Linked DNA regions of Lepisosteus oculatus. The protein of the gene in region 4 interacts with the protein of the main gene of each other region in a biochemical or structural test. Links are inferred from orthologs where the notes say so. Each region holds a gene or a part of one and is shown on either strand. Other genes may lie near its edges.

Region 1 (7,076 bases), on a different chromosome or scaffold from region 4:
TAAACTTTGAATGAGTGTTTCATTCCAGCTTCTGTTAAACTGACAGAAATTGCTCAGTGACCTCTCCCCTAAAATAACAGGTGACAGTGACAAACATATTTAAACTTAATGCAGCAATAGAACTTTAGGCTATATAAGAAGAGATACTGTAATACAAATAAAACTCTGAGATGTTCCAGCACTGGGCTTCATTCCTGACTAGAATTTAGATTCCTAAGTTTGAATCTGTTTGAATAAAAGTTTCCAGACACCTCACATACTGTATCAGTGTTTAGCTACACCATTACATAAGATCAGAAATCATTAGAGTGAAAGCTGCAACTGCCATAACAACCCAGTCTACTGCTTTTATATGCCCAGGGTAGAGTGGTGCTTGTTAAAGACAATTTTGTGCTCATTTTCAACACCTTTGCAGCTACATTTGTGCAACGTGGGATAACCTCCAAATAAGTAATTTTTGTAATCAAGATGTTTTTTGATTTCAAGGATGAGGGTACAGTGCTGTGAGACATTGTAGCATGTGACAAAGCTGAACAGCGTAATTGCTTCTTGTGGTAAAATTCAATATTAAATGAACATAGTAAGAGACACAATTAGCACCATCTTCCTTGTGCATCCACAGACAAATGCCTCACAAACCATGACAGTTCTCTTTTTCTTTTAAACACACCAGGCATATACATGATATGCAGATTTGGAGATGGGGAGATGAAATGGTAAAATGCTGAAAACATTCTTCTTCAGCATGCACAGTGATTAAGATGAACCTAGCTTATGCAGACACATAATGGCTATATGCAGCTTTTAATGACTGTAATATCAAATAACTGTATTGATTTTGAATAACACAGGTCAACTCTTACTGGAGATGTTAGGCAGATTCTTTAAAGATTTATTACACACAATGTTTTTTTTTTTTTAAATCCAGCGTGGTCTTAGTTTGGATTGTTAAACAATACCAAGGTAACATCTTGAAAAAAAAATGAGATCAACTGTTTGAAATTTTATCGCTATGACTTGTTTTGAATAGACAGGTGGGTTATGGGAACCCCCAAACGGACAAAGTATTTTTGTGCAAAACAATATTTATTACCCGATAGGGTTTTTTTTTTTCAACATTCTACAATGACTTATCCTAACACAGAATATGAATGCTCTTGATTTTGGTTTTGGGTAAATTATTTCACACCTTTTCACTGGAAACAAGCCAAAAACTAATCAAAGAAGTGTGCTACAATGACACTTTTATTCAAGATCATAGCCATGAAATTCCAACCATGAAGACGTGTCAACCAATTAAGCAGGCTGGCAACTCAGGTGTGGTTATTGTAGGAGACAGGTAACATGGTGAATTTGTCCTATAAATTTTGATCCTAATTAGTGGATCCTAATTCCACTAATCAAAACGTCAAAAAAAAATCGTACTCTCAGTTTTCCTTCTGAGCAAACATAGCACTTTGAGAGCCAGCCGTGATGTGAAAGAAAGCTAAACTAAAGTTGAGAAAGCTGAGACATATGTCTTTCATTTCACAAACAGCCTTCCGTCTTCAGAATGGTTAAGCAAGTAACAGATTTCACATCATGTTTTCACAGTGTGCTGCTGCTATATCTGTTTTTTAGGCAATAGAAAGTCCCATTTATATCAAAATACTTTAGTTCAATCTAATCAAATTGATATACTGCATTCTGTGATGTTAGGTTTATTTAAAAAATGTGGGAAGATTTATCACAGTGTTTCCATTTAATTTGAGAAACTCCACATCTATGACAGCTTCCTGACAGCCTGCTTCATTCCTTCTCTTGTAAAATTATTCAAGCCTGGAATTCTGCCCATTAAAATTATTCTTTGGAAGAAATCATGCAGCTAGCTCCAGTTTCCACTTATTTAAGTTAATGTAGTAAAATCAGAAGCAAGATTCATGGCACACATTTCCAAAAGTAGGTCCATCCGCAATACAATAGTGTTACTCTTACACCCTAGCACGGTGATACTGCCCTACATATCATATAGCATGTGGTTAGAGTAATACCGTATAATCCACAACTAGATTCTAAACATAATTACCTTCTGCTAAATTCAGACGGCAGAATATGATCTTTCTTTTTTCAGAGTATTTAAAACTTTAGTTTAGCATTTAGTTTAGCATTACATAATGATAATTTTTCCCATTTAGCAAATGTAACAGAAACTCACAAAATGCTATTTAGTAAAGAGTTAATTTAATCCTTAATGAGACTTATTTACCCACATAAACCACATTTAGTTGTAGTTTTATAAATCTGCATATCTGAAAACTGCTTGTGAAGACAAACATTAACACAAAATATGACTAAAATATGAAATTATGAATTTAAATTTGAACATTTTGCCACAGATTTCCTTTTTATGTTGTACCTGACAGATATACTGTTTGGGAGCCAGAAGTTTCATTTTGAAAATATTGTTTCTTTTAATATTTAGCCTTTGTAGAAAGCCATATTTCAGAAAAAAAGTCTGAAACCTACCAAAAACCAATGTCCATCTATCTTCATTTTTTCCACTGTCAGCGAGCATTCTCTCATTCCATTCTGTATAGGAAAGGGTAAAATAAAGAGAAAGTGATGTGCAACCTTGCATTGCCTGGCTGAAGTGTGCAGAATCCAGTTTCAAAATTAATATCTGGGGGTTTGACTTCTGAAAAACAAAATCTTTGAGAATGACGAGTGTGTGTTTAAAAACCAATGTCTCAAAGATATTAGATGAAGACAGATGATTTGGAAACATATGGTGTAGGCTATTATTGTAGGCTGGTATTGATTCTTTGGTTGTAAATAATAATGTCACTGAAGTTCTAGAAGAGGAGGTTAAAGAACAAAAACAGGAAAAAGACAAAAATATTTTTATCTGATGCAACAATAATGGAAATCACAGTGTGCAAAAACATGAACAACAGAAATAAAATATGCTACATACATTAAACTATGACAAACAGTATAAGGACTCACTTACCTTTGATAGGAAGTCTACTAATTGATGTGGGCGCCAGGATTCAACCTGCTCTTTTGTGGGCAGGTTTAAAGCCATTTGTATGAGGCAATGCACGTGAAATGTGCAATGGTAAGTGTTGAAAGCACTTCTTCTAGTTTCTTGTTTATTGAGCTGTTTAATAGTGACCTCAACAAGGAAGTTTCTTGAGGCCCAGCCTGGTTTGGTAACTGTCTTTGTAAAGGACCGCCTCTCTCTTTACAATGAAATACTTTTCTTTTTGAAATTTGCAGGATATGGTGAGATGTAGAAGATCATAGTCCAGGGTTATTAAAGTTTTATACATTTTGTCTGTAAGAAATATTGTTTTCAATTTCCACTGACATATAAAAACACTTAGTTTTATGAAAGAACCATAAAATAATTTGTCAAACTAAAGTTGTCAAATGAAGCACCATAAAGTGCAATTTGTATACATCCCTCTGTATACACCCCTTTGCTCAGTGCAAAGTGTTTTATTAAACAGCCCTATTATTACTACTCAGGAAATTTTTGTATGCACTGGGGGTACATAACAGTGTTTTTCAGCACGTAGTTTTCAATAATGCTGGAAACTCTTCTATAAATATTTGAGTCTGACATTATGCAGTTAAAATGAATGCCAAACCTTATATTGCAATGCTATTTGATTGAAGTGTTCAGTACTGTTTATAAACTGTATATTTAAAAAATCCCTGAAATAAAGCTGATATGATTTAAAGCATGCACATCATTTCAAGGATAAACATATTTTTATTTACCTGATTTGCATGAAAACATAACCAGACTCAGTTAATTCTGTGCTGAATATATCATAAAACATAATGTTGTATGCTGACTTTAAAGTACTTTGACAAGTTATACATAACAATGGTTATACTTAGATATATGATCCGTAGACCCTTTTCAGTTTCAGTTCAACAACAACATGCAGAAAATGATTAAGCACCATGTTTGTTGTGCAGTAATGTTTTTAGTTCTGCTTTAGTTTAAATGATAAATTATGCACATACTTAAGAATGAGAGGAGCCTATTCACTCCATCTAGCCCATTTGGTAATTAATAGCTATAACAACAACATGACTGAATGGCACTCGGTGTCACTCGCAAAACATTTTAGGTCAAGAAGTTTTAAATGCAATTTCACATAGTTTTCACTTGTGCCCTTTGGTTCATATTCACAATTTTTGTCAAACAAATGTTAAGCAAATGCCAGACTTCTGTAACAGCCGTACTAAATATGCAATGAATAAATTTGGTCTTGTAATGAATATGGATATACTTTTGCTTATAAGATGTTTGCTTGCAACATGTCTCTTAAGATTAGTGCAAACCCTGGTTGGTCACCTGTCAAAACCACACAGTATGTTACTTAAGTGGAACTAAACTAGGCCCGGAGTTCCATTAATAACTTCTGAATTCGATATACCTTAATTTCAAACCCTTACCTCTGGCTAGCATGTGGTTGTATGTATGAGGGTGTATATTAAAATTATATTACTGGAAATGTACTTGTTTCGTAGAAATGCTAAACTAACATAAGATGACAGAGAAATGACTTATTTGAGTGCCTTTCTTTGAGAAGTGAAACCACATTGTATCCTACGTAGTAAATTTAAAAAATAAAAACAGAAAAAGAGAGATAGGAGCTAAAATCCGGAACAGAGACAGGGAATAAAACCAGGATAACGAGGCCAGGTGCTCCGAGCCCCACACTCAGATGATCAGGACACCGTGATGAAGCCTATGCTGTCGGGTCTCCCCTGAAACCGCTGGTAGGCGGGCTTCCAGGCAGCCATCTCCCAACGCTGATGCTGAGCCAGGAATAGCGAGAGCGCCTGGCTTAAATAGTGAAACAAAACACGAGGCAGGTTCACATAATCAACTAAAATACGAAAGGGTCGGAGCGCCCTTAAGAGGAGGGATGCCAATCGTGACAGTTGCTTGCTGGATAGGCTCCGGTTTCCAGCGACCCTCTATGGTATAAAGCAAATTACATGACGTGACGTACAGTATATAGCTCCGTATTCATGTATTTACCCTTAATATATGAAAAGAACATGAATACAATAATTGATTAATTGTATGGTTATTAACCGTTTCATTAATGGTCACTTCAGTATTAACTATGTTTATAAGTGTCCCATGACATTATTTTTTTTACTTTGCTGACAATAACTTGTTCAATAAGTAATGATCTTCATGACTTGGCCTTGACTTCTTATTTTGAGCGTGCACAATATTATACCACCAGAAATGTGTGTTACAGAATAATTACAGAATTCACTTAGCTAATCCAAACAAAACCAATTTGTCAGAATATCAGGATTGGCTGCTGGAAAAGTGTAGTGATGATCTGTCTTAAAATGGACAAGGATCTGGTTACTGCAATATTGTGTTTGTTGCCTTGTTGTTTGTTACCAAAATGTGCTTTGTTAATTTGAACAACAGAAGATTGAATTACAGTAATGAAAAGATGCACAGTATGTACAAATCTGGTGTATACTAGCCTTTTTGCAAATTTTGTAGTCTACACAGTCATATATATATGGAAGCACATTGATGCCATTAAAAAAATAATGTACAGTATACTGTATGTTGTAATTATGGGAAAATGATCTCATTATTACAAGATAGTACACTATGCCATTATTATGATATACAGTAGTAAATTATCACGTAATTACAAGATAGTACATTATTGTGTACTTTATGTGGTAATCACGTGATAGCACAACCATACAATACCTGCATTATCATTAGCTGACTTTCTGTTTTGAGCAGTGGAATTGCTTGCATGGTACAGTCTTTCTTGTTTAAGGGTACATCTGAGTTTCCTCATGCTTAATATGATTTCGTTCACATAAGCTAAAAATTGTAACCTTTCATAATGACTAAACCCAATGGAGAGTAAGTACTGTACCTGCACATTCTGCAGTATTGGACATTGTTATGAGCACTACACTCAAAGTGCCAGCTGAGCTTGTAATTGCTGTCATTGCACAATGTAATATGTTGTTTATACACACAAATGACCATTTGTATTTTGTTATAATGAGATAATTTACTATCTCTAAATGACAAGATAATTTTTACATAATAAAGTACAATGGGATATAATTTTCTCAGAATTACAGTACAAGATACATGTTCATTTTCTGTCTTTGATGGCAGCAATGTGCTTCCATATATAAGTACATACAGATTCTTAAACTGATGCCATGTTTTTTTTGTGGGATTGTCATTTGGATGTTGAGCTCAAGACAGGATAGGTGAATTTGTTTTATTTAATGTGAAAGCCTACAGGTTCTCTTTTGAATGTCTAGTGACCTGTACAACCAACGTTCTATTCTTCCACTGAATTCTGATTTTTAAATGGGTTGCTCTTGAAAATAACAGTAGATGGCAAGATCATTATTTATCAGAGACTCTTGGCTTGTATAATATATTCTTCCTGTTTGGCACTCTTGCCAGTTTAATTCAACTGCCTGTAAATATAAAAGAAAAATAAAAGACAAAGGAAAATGACATCACAGTGGGCGTTCTCTTAGCTGTAAGAAAAATAAATTGTAAGAACAACAAAGACAAAATAAAAGGACACAACACAAGAAACAGTTTGCAGTTTAACATTTCCTGACGAAAATGCTTCACATTCCCATTTTTCCACCAATAAAGAAAAGACAAAAACTTCCAGAGTCCCGCAACTCATGTAAATATGAAGTGAAATTTAGTGAGGTGGCAATATTTTTGGTGGAAAGGAAAATGGGATCAAGCAGAAGGAAGTTTCTCACTAATCTTGCGAGGAGTAAAGGGTTCAGAATAGAGGATGTGTTAAGGTATGTATTTTCTCCAGTAATAATTTGGAATTTACTAAGCTAAGCATAAAATAATATTCTTTTCATCTTATTTTTAAAAAAGTATATTTGATTTCAAATAAGAATTGTAATGTAAATCACAGAGGTTCCTTGTGTTTGATGAAAAAGATCAGACCACTATTAATGATTACATGTCATGAACCTGTTAGAAAATAGAAGAAATTCAGTGTCAGAATTGATAAGAATTGACCATGAGA
Region 2 (7,757 bases), on a different chromosome or scaffold from region 4:
TCAGTGTTGTTTTGTTTTCACTTTCTGGTGGGAGGAGACAAGTGCATTAAGTCAGGGGGTCATTCTGCATCATTTATTGGCATTTAGAGATCAATAGTCCTGAATGACTGACCCATGGGAATCTCAGGCTCTAATATAGGAAAACCTTTTTGGTTATTTTTTTAGCAGCAGTCAAACGTTAAGTCATGTTAACTTTAATTCTCATCAATCCTTCTTGAGGTAGACTCGCACAAAGGATGAAGTATTAACCATGAGGGTTGAAAGATTAACTCAAAGACCTAGCTTGCCTTCAGCTGTGGGCATGAACTAGCACCTCAGTGACTGACAGACTTTCTCCGTTACCTAGCACTGCCACAAGTGTTGCCTGTAGTGGGGCTCCTAACACGCAGCAAATGGCCACAGATTCTGTTTTCCAGGAAACAGTGTCTTTTTTTAAATCCCAGCAAAAAAAAAAAAACAAGGAAAAAACAAACTCAGTGGAAGTTTCCACTTCTCGGGATTTTATCATCCTGGTCATCTGTGTTCCTAACACACACACTAGGCACAAAATTTCCTGTTTTCCATCCATTGTCACATCAGTTGGTTCTGAAGGCTGTCATTTCTAACTTTAGATCTGAAACCTGACCCTTAACCAAACAAGAAAGAAACGGCAAATAACTTCTTACAAGCTCTGCTGCAGAGAGAGCCCTAGGAGGACATAAAATATCTGATGACTTTTGATGTCAAACCAGCTCAAATCAAAACCTGTGGACTGCTCCACAGGCTATGCAGGTTATTAAACACTTTCAAGGTCTTTGCTTTTACGAGAGAGGTCTCTTAGAGCCAAATACAAATATAGATCTCTGTAACCCGTTTGAAAATGTTAACCCACTTTTGTTACTGAACAGTAGATGGTAAAGGTCTCTCCCTTTTACAAATACAAGAGGAAGAAACCCTGACAAAGCAAAACTCAGTCCTGCATGAGAAAACAAACGACACTTCAGCACAGAACTTTTGGCTGCAGCACCGTAAACACAGAGGTTGTGTTTTTCAGAACAGGACAATTTCAAAAAGGCCTCTAAATGCAGTCCAACATTGCTAATGGAGAGAGAGCATAGCAACAGCCTTACAGCAGATTTTAAATGGAGACCTGTACTCCCTGGTCACAGCTGATAAGAAGGCAGCGATATATTGCAAGCAAACCGAAGGGTGTGCAGACCCAGTTTACCTAGGATTACCGTTTCTAATGGCTTGTAATATAGCTGGACTGGACCTATTTTAACTGCTGTAGCCATTTCATTCCACCTTTCAATCATTTTCCAGCTGGTGTCGGGACACAGCCTTTATCGAGTATCAGACAGACTCGTTCCTGCAGTCATGACACATAAGAACATTTACAAACAAGAGGAGGCCCTTCAGCCCATCTAGGTCACTTGATTTTGTGGTGCTAACTGATCCAGGCTTACACAGCTATTTCTTCAAAGAAGCCAAGTACTTTGAGCTGACTACTACTACTGTTACAACTACCTGACTATTAAATTATTACATGTTGCACAACAGCTGGAAATTCATCTTCTTCTTTGCTAAATACGTCTTGTCGCACTTTAAAAATGGAAAAAAGAAATGTTCTTATGAATTGCTCGGTAGTCATCCCAGTCTAGCCTTGCTTCTCTAAGACAACTTATACACCACCTTGGCCCTAGGCATGATGATTCTGTTTATTAAGGGGGCTGTCAGCTGCTAGAACGCACTCAGCAGATTCTATGGAACAAGTGTAAAGATGAACTGGTCAAGCCCACCTCCACAACATAATAAACCAGTTATTTTCCAGCTACACTGTCTGTATGGAAAGAAAAAAGGTCTCGCATCCAGAAGCATCATCTTAATAATTCCGATCACTAAAATTATTATTTATTACATTACTTTTTGCAATTTTTATACATCAAAAAGAAGTATAATATACAGTGCGTGTATATACTGAATGTATTAAGACATTCACCCACAAACATGTTTTACACATAATTTGTAAAGCATTGTGCAAAGGTTTGGGTTCTTTAAATATCACATGTATTGCGTAATTCATCACCTTTACAGTACATCATTGCACTGTTTTATTTATTAATACAAAGCATGTTAACATTTTAATAGCTGTATTTCAAAGAATATCAAAAAATACTTTGCGTTCTATGTTTTTACCTCTACACCTTCGCAGTGTTTTACTGGAGTACTGTTGCAGGAATTATAGATGACATCTTGAAAATCTTTCCAGCAAGTCCGTTTTGCTGGATTCTTTTAATTTTATACAGATGCTCATTTATACTGAAGCTCTACTGCACTCTACCATATACTATATACATTTCATCAGCATTATGAGAGAAAAGGGCTGGCTGCGCATGTCAGTTAGTAGTAGCCTTGCTCAAACCCCACTAGTTAACAGCTGTACACAGTAATCTTCCAGAACAAAAAATTAAAGACAAAAAATACCATATATATAAAAAAGCAGTTTCACAAGACAAATCACTTAACAAAAATATAGAAATGATCGACAAATAAATTTAAATGTATAGTCTCATAGAAATTAACTGGGCATTACACCAGAGGCCTCTTCTCTACAGTGTTTCTATAATGGCTGCTTGCAGGGAATGTTCAGATTGCAGGACAGCAGATCGGCACATTCTCGATAGATTTCCTGCCTCACTGTGGCTCATTGCTACACCAAAAACCTTTCAAGTCACAGAAATATCACCGCATGGTGTAAACGTACACTTTCAACACGCTGAACAGCTTTTGAGCAAAAACAGTGCTAAACAGTGCTTTGCTTCTCCACGAGAGAAACTCAGGTCCCTTCAGGAAATTCTACAACTCCAGAAAACAATTTCAAACACTGGCGAAGTGAAGGAGTGAGAGGAGGAAAGGAAAACCCTGCCAAACAGCCCAGGAATTGGGAAAATGCAGAGTGCGGCAGTTTTTTTTACCTTGTTTTGCCGTTTGCTTGCAGGGAGGATCGATAACGCGCGCTGGAGCCTGCGTCTGGCTCCGGAGCTTGCTGTGCGCTGTACGGTCTGGCTACTTTCCTGTCGGCTTTCCATCGCCGTCTACAACACCCTGCTCCAGTAACCCCTGACCCACAGGAAGTAGGCACAATGGACTGAAAATAACAGAAACTGTCCCCTCCATCACGCTTCAACAAAGAGCAGGCACACAAATATGGATCGCACTGCTGGGATACTAAAATATCTCCAGCACTGAAAGCAAAAAGCCCAACGAGGCAGTAATGACCAGTGCATCCCCACCCCTGCAGGGCCTTGTGCCTTGAGCCTTGTGCCTGTGACACCCATGTCTGGACATGAGGAGAGGACCCCGATGCTTCTGTGGCAGCCCCGACAACAACAACAGGGTTTAAAGACTTGTAACTAAGGCCCTCTAACTCCACTGCATGGACCAAACTCTTTGAATGATTCTGGCCACATGACTGGCTAGTTTTAACTTTCTCTGCCAAAAATCTGGATTCTCATGTTTAAGCTTTCAGCTGGCGCATCTAAATGAAATTAAACTCAGGTGCACATCAGAGTCATAATCCCCTCATGGGTTCTGCAGTTGTTTTTAGGGAGAGAGGCACAAGCAGAAGAATACACTACTTAAAGACTCCCAACGTCACTTGTGATATGTGCAATAAGTCTACTACCCCTCTGCATGGTGCTGTATCATTTAATTGTAATTCACGCATTATGTAGCAAAGCCTCAGAACAATGCTGTGATAAAATCAAAGTTTATTGGGATAAATATAAAAAACAATTTCATACATCTGACAGTCTCAGATGCATCACAAGACAAGTGATCTAAGATGATCTCAGCATCTTAACAGGGTTCAGGCTGTTCCTGTTTTCACAGAAGCCAGGAACTGGAAGAGGAGGCTCAGCTCAGCTCCATTTTCCAATATCAGCTCACAGCAACCCTGACTCAGGATGCTGAGAAAACCCCTTGAAGACGAAAGATGCTCCTGGAGCAAGATTGTGGAGCCCCAGAGTTTCAGGGTCTCTGGCTGAATTTAGCCTTAAACTGAAGCTCCATCTGGCTGCTGGGGTTGGCTGCCAGGCTGGCAGAGTTTCCCCGAACAGCTTGCACGTCTCTGCAGGCTGGCACAGAAATGACTCTCATGCCAAGCAATTAACTGCAAGGCTAAATTGAGCTACACGTACCTGTCAGGTTGGAGCCCACAAACAGCACTTCACAAGGGACAGTAATTTACTGCCGACTACCAAACCTAACCTTCACAATATCAAGTCTGGGGCTGAAGGCACCCCAGGCTTTTAATTTGGAAATTAAAATTTAATGGAAAAAGAACTAGCACATTGACTATACATATTTTTTTTCTTTGCCCAGTTAACCCTTTATGTCTTAAAACTGATTTTAGACAGAAATAAAGAATCGCTTGCATATTGCAGGAATGTTTCCTGCAATATGCAAAATGTTCTCAATTTTCTCTGCACATCAAACGTACCATGATGAATATTCAGAATGTTATTTAGATTGTCAAAATAAACTGTTAATTATAAAACGCGTGTTAATTGGTTGATTGGATGCATAAAATTCAGGGATACACATATATATATACACATAATCTAGTACAACAAGTGAAATGCATTCATACAATAATGATTCAGTCACAAACAATAACCCAAGAATTCAATGAAAACAAACCACGTGTGTGCCGAGAAACGAAAAAATGCAGTTTGTTCATCCATGTAGAGGAAAACCTTGCAGAGTGTTTTTAGTGGCGTATGATTCACATCTGGCTCTTGGGGAGATAAACCCTGTTCAGTGCTCACCTCGATTCTACAGTCCCGTCTTTACATGACTTTGCACTTCCAGCAGGCCCGAAGCCCAGATTCAGAGTTCACAAACCTTCTACACCATAAAGGGTTAAAACCAGAACACGCTTGAGAGCTGGAAGTAAATGTTAGAGCTCTCAGTAGGTCCTCAGAATACTTTCAAGCTTCTAAATGTACAGAGTAATTATACTCTGTATAAGCAAGCTCCAGTCACCAACTTCTGTGCCAGCACTGCTTAAAATGGAACCTATCGCAAAAGGACCACAGGTGCTGACACCGACTGCAACTGCTCACAATTAAATACTGCGTTTTAATGACTACAAGCCTGACAGGGCGTAACACAAGAACACACTCTTCTGTGACACAACAGTTGCTTCCCTGATGGAGGCAGCTTTACTTTGTTGTGAATTTGTTTAATAGAATCAAACACTTAGCAGTAGATCCAGACAATGGAAAGTCATACTGTATTGCTTTTAAATTGTATTTTTAGCTCATAAAATAACCAGATAGACCTGTCCTGACCTGCAGTTAAGACAGCTTGGAGACAAATTCACTCTTGGCTTATTTAATTGTATAGTTGATATTGCTGCTTGCCAAGATGATTCTGTCACGGTACTTTCTTTCTCTAGTTGACAGTGCATGTATGCATAAGCTACTGCAAGTCTTGATATTTTTCAGTTACAATCTGTGTAACCCTACATTTTGAGAAACAGGTTTCAGGTGTCTTTTATTTTCTAAGAGACGGGCCTACTTTCAGAGTCCACCAGCTGCAGTCAGGTGTGTTTCTGTCCAGGGACACCACATTAATTCTTACAAGTCAAATAGCTGCAGCTCCAGAACCATGACTTCATTTTATAGCTCTCTGCAGCCATGTGGGCTGGAAAGTTGTTGCCACACCACATTAAAAATAGCTGGACCCATTTAGAAACATGTGCAGGCCCTCTGACACGCTGCTTGTGACATCCTGTTTTGTTTCTGAAAGAGCACGCTGTGAGTTTAAGGGCCTTCCACTAGGCTGGAGAGCACTCATTTGTGTGCAGCAACACATCCAGTTCTAACCTTGGAGAACAGCCTTTCCTTTTCTTATTGCTTATTGTAAATGCTTAAACACAAAATCTTAAGCAATTCAAATGCCACCATTCAACGACAATAATTATAAGAATAACAACTGAATGTTTTGCATTTGAGAACAAAGTGCCAAGCATGTCTCTGAAGCTCCACATGATCTAAGGATCTACTCTGCCTGATCATGGAGATCATCTGATCTAGAGGAACAACACTTTCCCTTTTTTACAAACCATCTCACCTGCATTCACTTCACTGAGGAGTCAGAGCACACTTTCAAAAAAAGGAGCTGGATCTCAGAAAATGGTCTTAACACCTGTAATGCACAATACTATGCTTAGCTTTTGTATTTGCTACTTTCATAGTCCTCCTCCATTCCCACAGTGGTGGACTAAAAGGAAACAGCAGAGCTTTTAGCTGAACACTAAATATTGGGGCTTCTCCTGCTGCAGATGAAATGTTATTACTCTATAAGCCTGCGGTTTGACAAAGAGGCTCAACCACACTACTGGATCATTATCCTGGCTCCCCTGACGGGCTAAAGTATCCATATTAAAGAGGCTAATCCGTTCACTCTGATATATCAGTGCTCACAGCCCCAGAAAGAGGTGCTGGGGAGGTTACAACACTGAACAGAAAGCAGATCGGATTTCCATCATCATCATCACGACACAAAGCAGGGTTTGAAAAATTTCACCCGTTTGTGATTTCCAATACAAAATAAAGAACCCCCCCCAAAAAAGATGAAAAGGGTTCTTATTGTTATAAGCATTCACAATATACAACAGAAGGGTCCAAAAAGCAATAGAACTATTATACCTGCTTTAATACCTAAAGTAAGACACATTCAAGTTTTTTGTTTTATTGCTCATTAGAAGCTATAAAAAGCAAGAAAATCCAGAATACTTGGAAATGTCCACAGCAGATAAAAACATTCTCTGAATTTCTAAAATATTCTGCTGAAGCAGGAGATAAACTGAGTTTCCTGGCTTGTTATTTATATTTTCTTTATACACTGCATTAAGCAAATGATTTACAGTTTAAGAGTCAGACAGACCTGTAATTACCAACCCAAACTTGCCAACAACACTGACACATCCATAGTGCTGTCCTCACATTACCTCTACATACTTTGAGACTCAAATTAAAATTTTACCAGTATATGCACAGTTTTCTTCTCTGCCCTGTTTTGGTAGCCACTCACTTTCCTGCCATCTAGGATACTAAACAGTGAAAGAAAAGTTAAATTGACCGATAATGTACACTGTGACCCATTCAATACCAATTACAGATTTTACCCCTTAAGCCCTAATTCAGCCATGAAGTTACACTCACTGCAGTTGTGCTGTGAAGCCAAGTCTCATCTTCACACCTCTTAAAATCATGAAACCTTACTAATAATGATGCTTCTTGGTTTTTTACCCCCCAAAATGTTATCATTTCAATGAGCAGTTCACCGATGAGAGGAAGAGACACTCTCAATAACTGGATTCAAGTATGTCCATTTCATATACTGACTTGTCACATTACTTAAATACTGTAAACAAACATCCAACTATTAACCCATAAAGAAAAACCTTGCTTTTTGAATATGCTTCTGAGCCAAAAAATCTCAGACTCATTAATCGTATTAAATCTTATCAGTAGGACTCAGCCATTTTCTAATCACTTTTGCCCAGATACAGACTTAGCTCAGTAGACTTAAGATTTACTCTTTCACCTGCTCACAAGCTTAATTGCTAATGCCAGAGATTCACAAGACGTTATGCAAATATCTTCAACTGATACATCACCTTTCAAGTGCCACCTTTCTATGACCAAGGAAAAATGCCAATTTATTCCAAGTCGTCAGCTTTAATCAAATACAACTCAAATAAGTGT
Region 3 (7,916 bases), on a different chromosome or scaffold from region 4:
GCATACAACGCTAACTCAGGGTAGACAACGCTAACACATTGGAGACAACGCCAACACACTGGAGACAACGTCAACACTTTTGACAAAGCTAACTCACTGGAGACAATGCCAACACACTGGAGACAATGCCAATTTACTGCAGACAACATGAACTCACTGTAAACAACGCTTAATTCACTGTACGCAATGCTTACTCACTGTAGGCAATGATAATTTACTGATGGGTGATACGAATTCAGTGACGGGTGATACTAACCCATCGCAGACAACGCTAACTCGTAGGCAACACAAATTTGCAGTGGGCAAGGCTAATACAGTGTGAGTGATGTTAACACACTGCAGACAACACTAACACACCTCTGAATCACTGAAGGCTATGCTCACAAACTGCAGATAATGCTAACACACTGCAGACAATGCCTACTTGCTGTGGGAAATACTAACTCATTGTGGGCAATACTAACATACTGTAGGCAATGCTAACACATTGTAGACAACGCTAACTCACTGCACACAAAGCTAGCATGCAGCAGACAATGCTAAGGTAGCAAGCAACACTAACACATTGTAGACAATGCTAAGGTAGCAAGCAACACTAACACATTGTAGACAATGCCAGCTCACTGGAGACAACATTAATTCACTGTACACAATGCTAATGCAGTCGACAACGCTAACATGGTGTAGTTAACTCACTGCAGACAACGCTAACTCACAGTAGACATCACAAACTCACTGGAGACAACGCCAACACACTGGAGACAATGACGATTTACTGCAGACAGCATTAACTCACTGTAAACAACGCGAACTCACTGTAGACAACACCAACACACTGTAGACAATGCTTAATTCACTGTACGCAATGCTAACTCACTGACAGGTGATACTAACACAGTGCAGGTAACGCTAACTCATCGCAGACAATGCTAATTCGCTGTTGGCAACACAAAATTGTTGTGGGCAAGGCTAATACAGTGTGAGTGATGTTAACACACTGCATGCGACGCTAACACACCTCTGATTTACTGAAGGCTATGCTGACTCAGAAGATAATGCTGACTCACTGAAGACAACGCTCACAAACTGCAAATAATGCTAACACACTAGAGACAATGCCTACTTGCTGTGGGAAATGTGAACTCATTGTTGGCAATACTAACATACTGTAGGCAATGCTAACACATTGTAGACAACGCAAACTCACTGTAGACAACGCTAAGGCAGTAGACAACACTAACACATTGTAGACAACGCTAACACACTGCAGACAAAACTAAGGTAGCAGACAACACTAACACATTGTAGACAATGCCAGCTCACTGGAGACAACATTAATTCACTGTACACAATGCTAATGCAGTCGACAACGCTAACATGGTGTAGTTAACTCACTGCAGACAACGCTAACTCACAGTAGACATCACAAACTCACTGGAGACAACGCCAACACACTGGAGACGACGCTAACTCACTGGAGACGACGCTGCTAACTCACTGGAGACGACGCTAACACACTGGAGACGAAGCTAACACACTGGAGACGACGCTGCTAGCACACTGGAGACGACGCTGCTAGCACACTACGGGCGACGCTAACTCACTGGAGACAAGGCTTCCATAACGACAACACAACCCAAGTGGACGGAGCAGCTGACCACAAGAGGCGGGTTTGCCCCAGAAAGGGAGCGATCTGGATCATCGTCCTCTCCCACGAAAAAACCAAGCGCAGAGACACTGACTCCCCCAGGCCCAGGAGCTGGGCTGAGCGCGAGAGCCGAGGGCCACGGGCCCGGTCTCGCGTGCCGAAGCCCCGGACAGCCCGCACCAAACCCGAGAGCGCCGGGGTCGGGCCTGACGCACTCACCGACTTGAGGTACTCTGCCAGCTTGTTGGCGTTCCAGCCCAGGACTTCAGTCCGGCTAGGGAGCTGGTCGAAACTCATGTTGCTCCCCTCACGTAGCGAGATATTCCGCTCCGAATCCGAGTCCCTTGAAGAAGAAGAAGAAGGAGAAGCCGAAAAACGGGCAACGAGCGAGCCTGGGCCGACCGCGTCCTCCTGCCCGGTTACCTCCTGCTCGGCATGCTGGATGGAGAGGGCCCCAAGAAAATGGCTCCCGCGGCTTCGCTGCTACGCCCTGAGCTCTGGCGTCGCCGCGCTGCGGAGGAAGTGAGGTGCCCGACGAGAGAGAGAGCGAGAGAGAGAGAGATGGCCTGCACGCACTGTGCAGCAGAACGAGCCCGCACCAAACAGCTCACACCGAGGGAGTGAGAGAGAGAGAGACAGGAAGGAAGCGCTCAAGACTGAACGAATGCTGACATCTTCCTCTTGCGAAACCAGGGCTGTCAACCTCGGATGGGGGGGTCTGGTGGGGGGGGGGGGGAGAAAACAGCCCCTTCTTGCTGCACAGACTGAGACGACGCGGACGGCACGAAAGCGAGGCTTTTCGAAGAAACACAAATGGCGTCATTCACTACTTCCTCCTGAGTTTCTTGAAAAATCCTCCGGCCGACAAGCGAGTGGTGCTGCGTGGGGGGGGGTTGTTAATAAAAACCCAGCCCTCGTTAAGGAGCCCACTGGACCACAGGCCCCGTCTCTGAGCACAGTCTCTGAGCCTGTGTAGGACCCCTCAGACCGTCAGGGAGGACTATATGGTGCACATGGCTGCCTGACGCAACACAGTGGGCAAGACTGCAGGAGGAACTGCCCCGTCCCCCTGTGCTGCACCAGGGCTGTAGCCCTCGGCTCTTCTCAGAAACTGGTGGCTGCACTTCCTCCATGTGCTGCTGTGACGCCGATATTGCTAAGACTAAAAAAAAAAAAAACAATGAAAAAAAACTATTCGTGAAAAGGCTCCCTCGCATGTACTGTATAGAGCTCCACACACAGGAGGGAACCCACTTCAACACCACAGAACTGCAGAACCACCTGGGTGACACTGTTCTGCACCTGCAGCCCCACGGCACACAGATCAGGGGAGCAGAGTGAAACTGTACAAGACCAGAGTGGGGTTCAGTCCTCCTGCAGCCCCACGGCACACAGATCAGGGGAGGAGAGAGAAACTGTACAAGACCAGAGTGGGGTTCAGTCCTCCTGCAGCCCCACGACACACAGATCAGGGGAGGAGAGAGAAACTGTACAAGACCAGAGTGGGGTTCAGTCCTCCTGCAGCCCCACGACACACAGATCAGGGGAGGAGAGAGAAACTGTACAAGACCAGAGTGGGGAGGACAGACTGAGACAGCTGTTACTCTCATTGCTTGTTTGTGTCGCGGCACTGAGAACGGCCTGTGAGTCCAGTCAGCCACCCTGCCCCCTACAGGCGGTCTGGTCTGGGCCGCTGGCCCTCTCCTCTGCGGACTCTAACAGCACATATGGACATTGCTTCGGCGTTCATGCACGGCGATCAGTAGCCATTGCCTTTTCATATGAGATAAACTACGAGAATTTAACAGTTGTAAAAGAAGTATCTTGTTTTTTGGAATTTGTAAACAAACTGACTTCAATAGTTTGTCTGTTTTCTATGTTTCTTCTGGTTTCCATCTCTGTGAGACGGCCAGAGTTGAATTCATGTTGACATTCCCATAATTCGTCTCTGTTCTCTAGACGGAAAACGTTTTCTCGCACCTGTCTGTAACTTGACTGTAGTTCCTGTTGCTTTTTGGATGTTTTTGGATGTCCATTTTTGTAGAAAATGAAATTCAAGAAATGGGAGCGTGATTGTATTTGTATTATGTAGGCTCGCCATCAGGCATTTAAAGTTTTTTTTTAAAATAAAAAACTATAATACATTTTACTTTGAAACGAATTGTCGACGTCGTGACTCTTACCTCGATGGACTTCGCGCGTGGACGGCCGGCGGAAGTGCGGCCGTTAGCGGCCTCGAGCGGCAGGGGCGGTTGACGGACGGATGTTAGCGCTGATGTGGCGCGTAGCCGCAGAGAGGCGACTCATTCACACAATTAATTAATTTCAGGTCACCGCCCGCGTACGAGTGTGCTGGTAGAAAATGGGCGCCGTGGATCTGGAGTCGGTCAATGACGTGTTCACCGTGCTGTGCGGCGTGTGGGTGCTGTGTAAGTGGAGTAGCTACTGGGAGAACCTTTCCCACCAGACGCCAGTTGGCCAATGTTTTATTGAAAATGATAAAGTATGAAACCTGTCCCAGCTTCTTCAGCCGGAGAGGTGCGGTTGAAGGTCTTGGAGACCGGTAACCCAGAGGACATTTTTAGCATTTCTTTGTTAAAAAGGCTGGGTTACCGCGACTGCGTGTCCCGCATTGTTCTCTAACGGAATCTTTTTTTAAATACTTGTCCAAGTAGCGCTTCATGTTCAGTCAGATAAAGTGCGCGTATTTCAAATCAAAGAGCTTAACTGCAACTTACCCACGATAAATGCTGTACCTGTTTTTCGAACAGCTCCTAAAAAATGACTTAGCATGGAGTAATTAGCCCTAATTATTAGATTAATGGTAGAAGATTGCTGGTTTTACTAGTGTTGGGTCTGTAACTATCTCGTATTTTAGTACTGATATTGTACTAAAACGATCGGTAAAACAAAACGACATTAAGAGTTTCGTACTTTATAGCGATGTAAGGATATATTTCAGTATAGTCCGGGAGGGCTGCAGCGTCTGGACATTATTCCCAATCATCTATTCCTGACTAAAGTCAGGCTGCAAATGGGTTTAACATGACAAGTCTTAACTGCTGCTGCTCTTGGGGAGACTTAGACTTACACCTGCCTTCCAGGATCAGGGCAGCCCTACGATATCTTTTCCTCAAACACTTATTTTTGTGTTTTATTTCCCTCTTCACAGTCTTTAAGTTTGGATTTGCGTTTGTGGAAGCCGGAAAGACAGATCCTCACCACACTGCAAATGTGTTCCTAAAAAACACAGCAGATACCTGTGAGTACAGTTTGATCACTCGGGCCACGGTGTCTCTGTCCCTCTGTGTCCCTCGCTCTCACACAGACACAGGGCCAACATGTTCCTAAACAGTGTCTGAGGTATCCAAATAATGTGTAAAAAAAACTCTGGAAAGTATTGAGTGCATATATCTGAATGCTTGAGAAATTAACCAGTCGTGTTTTGTTCTTTTTAGTTTTTGCTGAGATTTATTATAACTTATCTTAATGTGTAGTTTACACTTCGTCAATTAAAAAAAAATGTCTGCATTACTGTATTTTGCAATTTCAGAACATTGGACACGTTGTAAAGTCTGTAAAGTCTGAAGGAAGGTGGTGCAGTGTTTAGCATTGCTGTCTTGCACAGCTGAGGTCCTGAGTTCAATCCCAGACCTGAGGTGCTATCTGTGTGGAGTTTGTATGTTATTCCTGTGTTTCTGTGGGGTTTCCTTCAGGTGCTCTCCCATATTCCAAAGACATGCTGGTAGGTTAATTGGGTTCATGGAAAACAGGCCGTGGTGTGAGTGTGTTTGTGTCTGTGTGTACCCTGCGATGGACTGGCGTCCTGTCCAGTGTGTACCTTCCTTTTGCCTGTTGCTTGCAGGGATAGCCTCCGGTTCCTCGACAACCCTGAATTAGATGAAGAAGCTGGCAAAAGGAGAGATAAAAAAGGATCTGAATACTTCTGCAAGGAATAATCGATCTAAAGATCACATCCAGCTGTTTCTTGAAATTGGTGCAGGGTGTCAGCTTCAGTAATATGGGTGGGAAGTTCGTTCCACACTCCTACCTCCCTTTTTGTACAGAGTTCTTCAGGGTCTCATCCAGGTGTTTATTGATAGAAACCCAGGTATAAGCTTTAATCACGTGGGTGGGTAGATTGTGCCACACTCCCAGCTCCCTTCGTTTAAAGAAGTTCCTCCTGTTCTCAGTGTTAAATACCACGGATGTCCTCTAGTTGGCGTTTCACTATTGATTCTGAAGAAGTCCAGTGGGTTGACTGTATCAGTGTCTTGGAAGATTTGGGAAGCGTGTATGGATTCAGTTCTTCATCCTGTCTGTGTGGGTCTGACAGGCTGTCTGTCTCATCGTATCATTGAGTGTATGTGTTCTGGTAACCAGAATTGTACATGGTTTTCTAAATGAATCCTAACAAATGCGCTGTACAGTTTTGACACAACATCCCTTGATGGGAACTCTAAGATTTTACATAAATATACTAACTCTGTTTGCCTTTTTTACTGCTTCCCCATATGGGCTAGAAGATGGTGTCAATATAAACAGGGTCTTCTTCATAAGTAGTTTCTTCTGTCTCAATGTGTTGTAGTGTATCCTTTTTGTATTTCTGTTTTTACAATTTGCATACAGAACCCTGAACTTGTGTACATTACATATCATCTGGCAGCAGATTTCTCAGTCCTGAATTTGATCTAAATCTTTGTGAATTTCACTTGTGTCTACAATGAAAATGGTGTTGTCTGCATTCTGGTCTAGTTTGCGAACTATAGTAGAATGTAGACAGTTGGTATAAATTCGGCTGAGCAGTGGTCCTAGTACAGATCTCTGAAGTGAATATTGTATGGTCTGTGTGAGTCCATTGCTGCTGTTTCTTGTTCTTGTATCTAACAAATTGATCGGGCGAGACCTTCCTTTTCTAAACTAATGCTAACTATTTCCTGGGATATTATTTCCTTACATACAGTGTGATCCTCTAGTTCAGTTGTGATAATTGTTTCCTTTACTTTACATGTAATAGACATTGGTGTTGCTCTTCTGTTATTACGAGCTTCAGTTTTCTCGCCTTTTTTATGGAAGGGTACTACATGATTAACTCTCCAGTCCCTGGGTGCTACACCTGTCTGGTGACTGTTGGAACAGTTGTGCCAGTGGCTTCTGAATCATATCTCTTGTTTCCTTGGATACAGTTGGTAAGATACCATCTGTCCCTGGGGATGCATTAATCTTGATTGGTTCTACTTCCCCAAATCCTCCTGCCTCTTCTATGGTAATAATATTTAATACAGTACTTTTTTCCTGCTCCTGCCTGGGGCATGTTGCTGACTTCTTTCTTTGTGAACTCCTGAGTGAAACACTGGTTTGGTGCATCAGCCATTTCCCTTGCGTTGTCTAGAGTTCTGAGAAGGATGTTTAAATCATCCTTCCCAACCATCTTAAAGAATGGAAAAACAGATGCAGTGTGTGGGTAGTGTGAAGTCACCTAAGTCCAGCAGAATGTTCTTTTCTAGAGGAGTCTGTTTCTCGTCAGAAAAGTGATCACTGGCCCAATCTCCTCAAGCAGATCAGCCTTATTAAAAACTGGGAAACAAAGGTGCTTGTTAAGATTACTCGATCCTTTAGGCTGGAACTGTAAAGAGCTTTGTAAGGAGTGTAGTCACAGCAGTGTTGAATCTACAGGACATCAGGAGAAATCACAAAGTAATCACCAAGTTAAAAAAGACATGCTTTCGTCCTGACTTCCATTCGCCTGTGTCCTCCGCCCCACTGAGCTGTAGAACCTCTTACCAGGACACTCCTGGCTGTGTAGTAATGAGTCTCAGCTGAGAGCTCTGAAAGGGAGCAGAATTGTACACAAATGTATATCTTCTTACTCAGGATTTTTCTCCGATTTATTCTACCTAATCCTGAACTTCACAGCTCCACTTGAGAGCGAAGCTTAAAGCCTGTTTTTGCAGATCAGTGTGGCATTTGATATAGCTTGTAGAACAATCAAGTCCAGCATTCTCATTTAGTCTGGTGCTGTGTGGTGGGATAGCTGTCAGAAATAGATTGAAACTAATAGCAGGCTTTTGTGCTACGTTTCCTCCACATGCTCCCTGTGTGGCAAACCACAGTTTGTATTACTGCTCTTTATCTGATGGACCCCTTACATTGAAATTGGTGTCTCTGTGCAGTAAATAACTCCCCTTTTTTTTTCACAAGCTTGCTGTGTCTCTAGGGTTCAGTCAGTATGTTTATAAATCAGTTTAAGTGTTAATTTTTATCAGCA
Region 4 (7,860 bases):
GAAAAGCCGAAGAGATGGTCTAAAGAACAGTGAATTAGCATAACCCAAATCTGCCCTTACTTGCTGCAGAGTACTGTACTTTACTATGCTTTGCGCAGCACGTTAACGCAAATGAAACAGCAAACGCTATGTGAGGTGATGGACTTTCAAACACAAAAATCTGATTAGCGCTCCTTCCGGTATGAATAAAATCGACGATTACCTTCAGGACATCTCCACGTTTAAAACTTAATTCGTCGTCGGCAGTGGCTTTAAAATCGTATTTGGCAACGGCCTCCATTCTCCGGGGTTCTGCTGGGACACCTGTGAGCTTTTATAGTTTCGTACAGGTACAGTCTGTCGATGCAGCAGGGTGGAGATTTTACTCCCTTATTCTGCTGGCAAGTGAGATAAAAAAAAGCAAGAAAAATAACAGAATCCGTGGACCACTCGCTTCGAGTCTCTCTCCTCCCGGCTACGACCCGTTTCTCCGGGGTTAGCTCCTCACATAAAGGTCGCTGTCACGTATCTGCAAAGGCAAAGATACATCAGTGAGCCTCCCCAGGCTACGTAATTTAAATAGTATCAGTAAAGCACAAAAATATAATAATAAGGGACTAATTTAAAAGTGTTTGATCGAGCCGCGCCCTGGAGATCCGACTTGCAATGAAAGGCAAACGCTCAGCAAAAGAGGAAGGAAACCATCTGGCTGACATGCGAGTTAGCCAACCGCAACCCCACTGCGTCCCGACAGCCAATCAGGATGGGGCAAGCTTATAACGTCCAATTAGAGCCGACGTAATCGCTCTCCACCAATGGGACGCCCCAGTCCTCCGGCTCGTCCAATCAGCCGCCAGGAATGTTGACAGCGCCAATCACACATCAGCCCAGCTTCCGCGGAGTGACCAATCCGGCCTCCGCATAGGCCACAGGCCGCTTCCATATTTATCAATCATGCACTGCATTGATCTCTCCGTCTGCTACATGGCACAAAGTAACACTTTAAAGCTACAAGCGCCACACATGGGATCAGTCGCGTTTTGCCGTTAACGTCAATGCTCCCCGTTATGACTTAAAAACACACACCGAGAAACAGGGAAAAAAAACAGTCGTTAAAATGTAGGATGGAAACATAATTCGTCAGCTCTTACAAGAATGCAAGAAAAAGTAACCCTTTGTGTACAGGAACTGTGCGTTTGCTTCCGAATTATAATAATAATAATAATAATAATAATAATTGCTTACACTTATATAGCGCTTTTCTGGACACTCCACTCAAAGCGCTTTACAGGTAATGGAGATTCCCTCCACCACCACCGATAATAAATTCTTAAAATGTCAGAAACCCTGAACCGCAGACGTCTCGCAGAATACGGAAAGCATCATCTTAAGAAAACTTTCGTGGAAGTCTCGATCCACCTTCCTTCGCGACGTCAGTATTTTGATCATGTGCGCAATTTAATTCTCGTATAGCATTTTACTTTTTTTATTGCTGATCGATCTAGACAATAAAGCTTAATTTTTTTCTTCGTAGAATTAGAAAACCTAGCCAATGTCGCAGACAAGGTATTAATATTTCCACAACTCAATATCCAACCCCACCATCGCCAGTTTTCTTAAAACTTCACGCTCGAGACCTGACCCGATCTTATTTACAACCGTTTACAACTTCCAAAGAATATTATTTAACACGACTACCGTTTTATCGCGAACAACAAACTTCGTAATCCCTTTCGTAACTTCGTCAACCGAGTTACACCCATAAACGTTTGTTGCCTACCCCACTCATGACATTTATCAATTGAAATTCGAAATCAAAGTGTCGATTAACTTGGACAAAACTATCGATAACGCCAGGAAAGATCGATCCAGCGATACCCCCGAAACATCCCGACTAGACATAAATAAGAAATCTGCCTACATTCACATTTTTGAAAACAACAGCAACGATAAATAAATGTTGGTTGAAAGAAAAACCAATGAAGGCATCCGTTCTGAACCACTGCGCTACCGAATAGCATCGCTCGTCCAGAATAAATACTCGTGAGTTTAAGTTTAAAAGGGTCTTACGCGCTGAATGACCCGAGCACAGCCCCCTCCGTCCCGACAGGGAAGTCTCCCAGCCGGATTTGTTCTAGATGGTTCCTCGATGGGAGTTAATAAACAGCTGTGCCCTGCGCCGTAGCTCGCAGACTCGACAGCCAACACCAACCACTCAAGTCAAAGATCACTTCTAGCTAATGGCCCTCAAAACCCCAACAACAACAACTACTACTACTACTACTACAACCGGAGCCCTGGCGTTAGATGGCACCGGCCTGATTTGGGATTTCGTGATTAAGAGGGGTGGAAAACAAACAAACACCAACTTCGCCGTGCACTGGCACCGTGAGGGGACATCTGGGCGCCTGTGCACCGGGGCGACCGCGCTGACATCGGGGCGAAGTGTCGCACTCGCTGGGCGAAACGCTCGGGTTTTTTTAAAAAAAAATATATATATAACCTCTCCGTCGGTACGACGAAGGGAAGCGCTGACGAGCCGAGAGCTGCTCCGCACGCCGTCTGTCAGGAGCGTCTCTCCCCCCACCCCGACTTATCTATTTATTTTCTTTAAAAAAAAAACTTCCACTTTCTAGGGGGCTCCTTGTTTTCGGTTTCCTCCCTCGGACGCTGACTGTGTCCCAGGCCCCAGGAGCGGAAAAAAAAAAACTGAAGACAACACTTCGCGTCTTTCCTGTTTCAAAAAACACCAGGCCAAAATAACAGGAGACGAGAGAGAGAAAAAAAAAACAGTAACTCACCCCCACTTCAACTTTAACCGGGTGAATCCAGCTCAAACACACAGCTTGACCGTTCTCGGGGTTGGGAAATACACACTTTGTTACACAGGAATAGTAACTTGTAACCCTTTCTCTGAATCCCCCCCCCCTTTCTTCTTCTTTTTTTTGTACCCGTTAAAAAAAAAAATCCCGATATTTATTTCCGTTTCCTTCCAGATGCGGTCCTGCTCGCTGCCTGCCTCACGGCTCGAGCCGGATCTCGCGATACCTGCCCGCGGCGTGCGGGACTGGGGCGGGGCTTGGCGGGGGGTGAGGGGGAGGAGCCTCGGACCCCTTGCTGGGGGCTCTGCGGGGTGGGCGTCAGATTAGCATAGCCGCCAGGCCGGTGGGCATGCTCGCTTCCGAAGCTGCCTTGGTCACTATGATCAAAACCCTCTTCTTCAGAAAAGCCTTTACTGAACTGGTTCCATTCCTCACCCCTCTGCTCTTCTTAGCGCCACCTTCCACCGTCTCCTTCCACTATTGTTCGATAGATAGATAATACTTTATTAATCCCGTAGGGAAATGGATGTGTGACAGCAGTCCAGCCCAAGACAAGCAAAACAGACATCAGAATAGTTATAAAACAAAATAAATAAATACATAGGTGTGTGCAAAACGTGCCGATCATAGTCGCTGTAAAAACAATAAAATATGTGTATACACACTGATTGCCAAAAAAGTACAATGGAGTAAACATGCTGTCCATAGAGGAGCAAATGCATATTACGATATTACAATAATACAATCTCGCCTGTCTTTTCATCTTCGTATCCCTATTAAAGGTGTTCCCCTCATTGTCGTGACTCATTGCGGAAGTGCGAATTCCAGCTCTCCCGCGCTCCTTGTCATTGCTGTCAGAGCAATACTTCAGCCGAGTAGACTTTTATAGATACTCGGGTGGAAATGCTAACTTGTTTCCACCCCGAGTCCTTATTTGCTATCCGTATTGATTTAACTGGGCAATTTGACGCCTTTCCTTCTTCATGAGATGGAGGGTTAAAGAGACCTATCAGACCCGGAGCTCGGTCTTAATTGCTGGTTTCAATTGTTTACTCACCTGCACAGCCGTAGCGTTTTTAACCCATTTCCGAGGTGTTTATAGATGAGTTTATTTTTAATGAAGTGAATGCGTGTGGGCAGTCGGCTGTACAAGGCATTAAGAAAAAAAACTAGGTATGTGTAAGAAAAATAGGTAATAATAATTCCTTACACTTATAGAGTGCTTTTCTGGACTCTCCGCTCAAAGCGCTTTACAGGTAATGCGTGGAGTGATGGAGCCAGTTCATAGATGGGGATTATTAGGAGATCATGATCACTCCTGTCAAGAAGCGCTCGGTTTTCCATTTCATACAAACGACGGCGCCTTTTTTTTACAAGTTGTTACAAGTTGCAAGGTCACTATACTGGGGCATTAGCCCCACACAGAGCGCAGGGTGAGCGCCCCCTATTGGCCCCACTAACACCCCTTCCAGCAGCACCCTTCGTTTTTCCCAGGAGGTCTCCCATCCAGGTACTGACCCGGCACCTGTTGAGCTTCAGGCGGCTGCCAGTTGCGAGTTGACAGTGTGGCAGTGTGACACGGCTGCTGGCCGAGTAGACAACAGCGGGGTCAACTCATTGACTGCTCGAGTTGGGGGAGAAAGCATAACACACCATGGCTAACCTGGAATCCAGCTTGTGACCTCTGATCTAGGATGGCTCAGATCCCTTAGCTACTGTCACGCACAGCACACAGATGTGCCGAGTGGTCTCCCCTCGTTCTCATGATATGTGCTTGCGGTGGGGCTGCCCTTGCCCAGATCTCTTCCTAAAATCCTATACTCTTAAATAAGTCATGATTTCCCTTTAATTACCATGCACTATGATTAATTTATAGGCTACAGTGAGCCTGTCTTGTACAAATTCTGAATACGCTCCCCGCCTGCGATTATACAACAACTTCTTTCGCGAACGGAGAAACAGCCGGTGAGCGCCAAGCCTGTGAAGAAACTGGGATTTTATTCCCTGACCTCTGGCGCCACCTTGTGGGCAAGGACACACAGGACAGGACTCGCTGCTTCCAGGTGGTGCTGGAAAAACTCGCCGCCGGTCCTGCTGATGCGGCGACCGCATTTAGTGCTGAGAATCTGACACCTTCGGATAAGCAGAAAGCAGGAGTTTGAAAATTTCTAGAACGTGTTTGATTCTGATCATAAATAGTTAGACTGAGGAACGTGAACAGTCTGGCACCAATTAGTTGCTATCACTTCAGATTAGGGCTTGGAAATTCTATGAACACATTTTATATCTTAAAAGTAGATTTAACAGGGTTGCTATTAACCTTAACGGAATGTTTAAGTACATAATAAACCATCTTTATATTTAAATGTTTATCAATGTAATTTTGACGGTTCATTTACTGTTTTTTTTTTCTATATCTAAAGCATTATTTGCAACCTTAAGCTTTACATTTCTTGTTCAAGTGCCTCGCTATATTCAAGATAAGACTTCATTAATCATAATTACGGGAAAGTGAGGCGTTACAGCAGCCCAGCCCAAGAAAAGCAAGACAGACATCAGAGCAGACTAGAATTGAGACACAGCCGTGGCATTCTTGGACGTGAACTGGGGTGTCACAGGGAGAGAGGCGCTAGACGGAGTCGGGACGTGAAGAGAGCGGTCACGTTCGCTACACGTCAGAGGCTGACGAGTTTGAAATACCTGACGAACAGAAGCAAAACATCGGTAGTTCGGAGCATCTCAGTGCGGATTGAGATCTGCGTGCGCACAACAGATCGAACAGTAGGTGAGGAGGCTTAAAGAGCAGAAATATTCATCTTTCTTTCCTACTGACGTGAAATTAATACGAGCGATAGGAGCGATTCTAGCAAATCATATGTAAGAGCATCTAATTGAAAATAAGCAATTGGCACGAAGGGTTAAAATATTGACACTGACTCAATTTTATAGCTCTTCTAAGTCTTTCAATACAGTAAAAAATCAGCTGAATTTTCACACTTTTATATGATTTTCCATCAAAGTATCTTCGCATTTTGAAGTAGCTGATTTTTATTTGACAACATTGGTTTGACGCGTTGTTATTGTGTCTAGATCACAGTTCTGAGACTGATGGGTTTTGAAAGAAACACACCTTTCGTTCTTGAAAACATGACCTACGTAAACTCATCACTCGTCTCCAAAAATTATTCTTCCAGTAACCAGACAGGTAAGAGCGCTCCAATTTACTTGGAACAAAGTATTATTTCATTTCTTCTAACTACTGACAAGGTCTCCACCGAGAGAAGGTCGTTTATATAAGCAGTGTTTAACGTATTGGTGAGCAGACGAATGAACTGGCTTAATTCGACAAGCAATTTTGGCGATGTGGTGAAATATTTTAGCAAAGCGTGAAAGAGGAAAAAAGACGAATTTGTCCTGTTACAGTAATGTGGTTTCACGATTTACAAAGTTATTAGAATCCAGTTCTACGAAACGAATGCGTTTCGTACACTTTGAAATCGCAGGAACGTGTGAAGAAGCTGCATTTAGCAAATCTCCCCGAGCCGATTCCCTTGTGAATTGAGCACCGGGAGTCCTGAACTGCATCGATGTCTCTGACTCGACCTAGCAACCCGGGAGACACGGGGGCTCTTTCACTGAACGACCGCCTTTTGTCTTTACAACTGGTTTTATCTACCCGGTTTTGTATGGGTGGACTGGTCCTTCTAGAATCAGCCCGGTGTTTACATTTTTAATGCCGCAGGTGGTGTATCTCGTGACTTGTTTTGTTGATGTCCTAAAGAATGCAGTCTGAAAAAAACAACAACACCTAAAGTGGGAATCTGAACGGCCGAGCCACAAAATGCAACGATTTGAGCGATGTGGAAAATGTTACAGTTCTGCAAGTGTTCTGTAACTCCAAGGTCCTGCCGTGAAGTGCTTAGCGCGTCGTTAACCCCCGTTATTCCCTGTCTCCCTCCCAGCTGCGGAAAGGGGCCATGCGCCCTATACCGATGTGATCATGCCCAGCATTTTCGGGGTCATCTGTTTCTCGGGGATCATCGGGAACTGCATCGTGATCTACACCATCGTGAAGAAGACCAAGTTCCGAGCCAAGCAAACGGTGCCAGACATCTTCATCTTCAACCTGTCCATCGTGGACCTGCTCTTCCTGCTGGGGATGCCTTTCCTCATCCACCAGCTGCTGGGCAACGGCTCGTGGTGCTTCGGCGCCGCCATGTGCACCATCATCACCGCGCTGGACTCCAACAGCCAGATCGTCAGCACCTACATCCTCACGGCCATGACCCTGGACAGGTACCTGGCCACCGTCCACCCCATCCAGTCCAACTACGTGCGCACGCCCTGCGTGGCGGCGGCGGTCATCGGCCTGGTGTGGCTGCTGTCCCTCCTGACCATCGTCCCTGTCTGGATGTACGCGGGCCTGATGCCCCTCAGTGACGGCTCTGTGGGCTGTGCCCTACTGTTGCCCAACCCCGCCACGGATGCCTACTGGTTCACCCTCTCCCAGTTCCTGCTGGCTTTCGCCTTCCCCCTGGCCGTCATCTGCGCTGTCTACTTCAAGATGCTCCAGCACATGTCTTCCTCCGTGGCCCCCCTGCCCCCGAGGAGCCTGCGGCTGCGCACCCGGAAGGTCACCCGCATGGCGGTGGCCATCTGCCTGGCCTTCTTCGTCTGCTGGGCTCCCTACTACATCCTGCAGCTGGCCCATCTGGGCGTGCAGAGGCCCACTGTCGCCTTCGTCTACGCCTACAACATCGCCATCAGCCTGGGATACGCCAACAGCTGCATCAACCCCTTCCTCTACATCGCCCTCAGCGAGACCTTCAAGCGGCGGCTCGTCGTGGCCATCCGGCCCGCCAGCAAGGAGTGCCGGGTCAACAACAGCACGACGGAGGGCAGCGTCAGCCTGAGAGTGGTCCCCGAGTCCCTGCAGCAGTGCCCGTTCCTGGGGGACTTCTCCCACAGCGGGCTGCCCGTCACTGTGGCGGTCCGCTGACGCGGCGGGTCCCCCCTCCCGGGGGATCTGTGGTGGCGGCTTGCGGACGTAGAGCTGGTG

The links. The genes of interacting proteins can lie anywhere in the genome.
Region 1: the proteins of grb2a (region 4) and blnk form a complex in vitro, tested with the Homo sapiens proteins (3 studies listed by BioGRID and IntAct, with this or other methods). The link is inferred for Lepisosteus oculatus from reciprocal best matches to the Homo sapiens genes GRB2 and BLNK.
Region 2: the proteins of grb2a (region 4) and gab1 form a complex in vitro, tested with the Homo sapiens proteins (5 studies listed by BioGRID and IntAct, with this or other methods). The link is inferred for Lepisosteus oculatus from reciprocal best matches to the Homo sapiens genes GRB2 and GAB1.
Region 3: the proteins of grb2a (region 4) and lcp2a form a complex in vitro, tested with the Homo sapiens proteins (4 studies listed by BioGRID and IntAct, with this or other methods). The link is inferred for Lepisosteus oculatus from reciprocal best matches to the Homo sapiens genes GRB2 and LCP2.

The regions. Positions count from the first base shown.
Region 1 is NC_090699.1:24,014,760-24,021,835, forward strand, and holds the start of blnk (B-cell linker protein), read right to left. Parts: upstream 3,084-7,076; 5' UTR 3,065-3,083; coding exon 2,990-3,064; intron 2,569-2,989; coding exon 2,506-2,568; intron 1-2,505. UniProt on the Homo sapiens protein: Functions as a central linker protein, downstream of the B-cell receptor (BCR), bridging the SYK kinase to a multitude of signaling pathways and regulating biological outcomes of B-cell function and development.
Region 2 is NC_090696.1:27,606,117-27,613,873, forward strand, and holds the start of gab1 (GRB2-associated-binding protein 1), read right to left. Parts: upstream 3,084-7,757; 5' UTR 3,069-3,083; coding exon 2,955-3,068; intron 1-2,954. UniProt on the Homo sapiens protein: Adapter protein that plays a role in intracellular signaling cascades triggered by activated receptor-type kinases. Plays a role in FGFR1 signaling. Probably involved in signaling by the epidermal growth factor receptor (EGFR) and the insulin receptor (INSR).
Region 3 is NC_090706.1:29,680,410-29,688,325, forward strand, and holds the start of lcp2a (lymphocyte cytosolic protein 2a), read right to left. Parts: upstream 3,084-7,916; 5' UTR 1,946-3,083; coding exon 1,868-1,945; intron 1-1,867. Other genes in the region: putative ammonium transporter 1, read left to right, coding at 4,011-4,077, 4,821-4,910. UniProt on the Homo sapiens protein: Adapter protein primarily involved in signaling pathways within T-cells, as well as other immune cells such as platelets, mast cells, and natural killer (NK) cells.
Region 4 is NC_090704.1:44,337,014-44,344,873, reverse strand, and holds the start of grb2a (growth factor receptor-bound protein 2a), read right to left. Parts: upstream 3,004-7,860; 5' UTR 2,781-3,003; intron 2,544-2,780; exon of another isoform or gene 2,483-2,543; intron 681-2,482; exon of another isoform or gene 509-680; 5' UTR 281-508; coding exon 203-280; intron 1-202. Other genes in the region: mchr1a (melanin-concentrating hormone receptor 1), read left to right, coding at 5,910-6,006, 6,764-7,800. UniProt on the Homo sapiens protein: Non-enzymatic adapter protein that plays a pivotal role in precisely regulated signaling cascades from cell surface receptors to cellular responses, including signaling transduction and gene expression.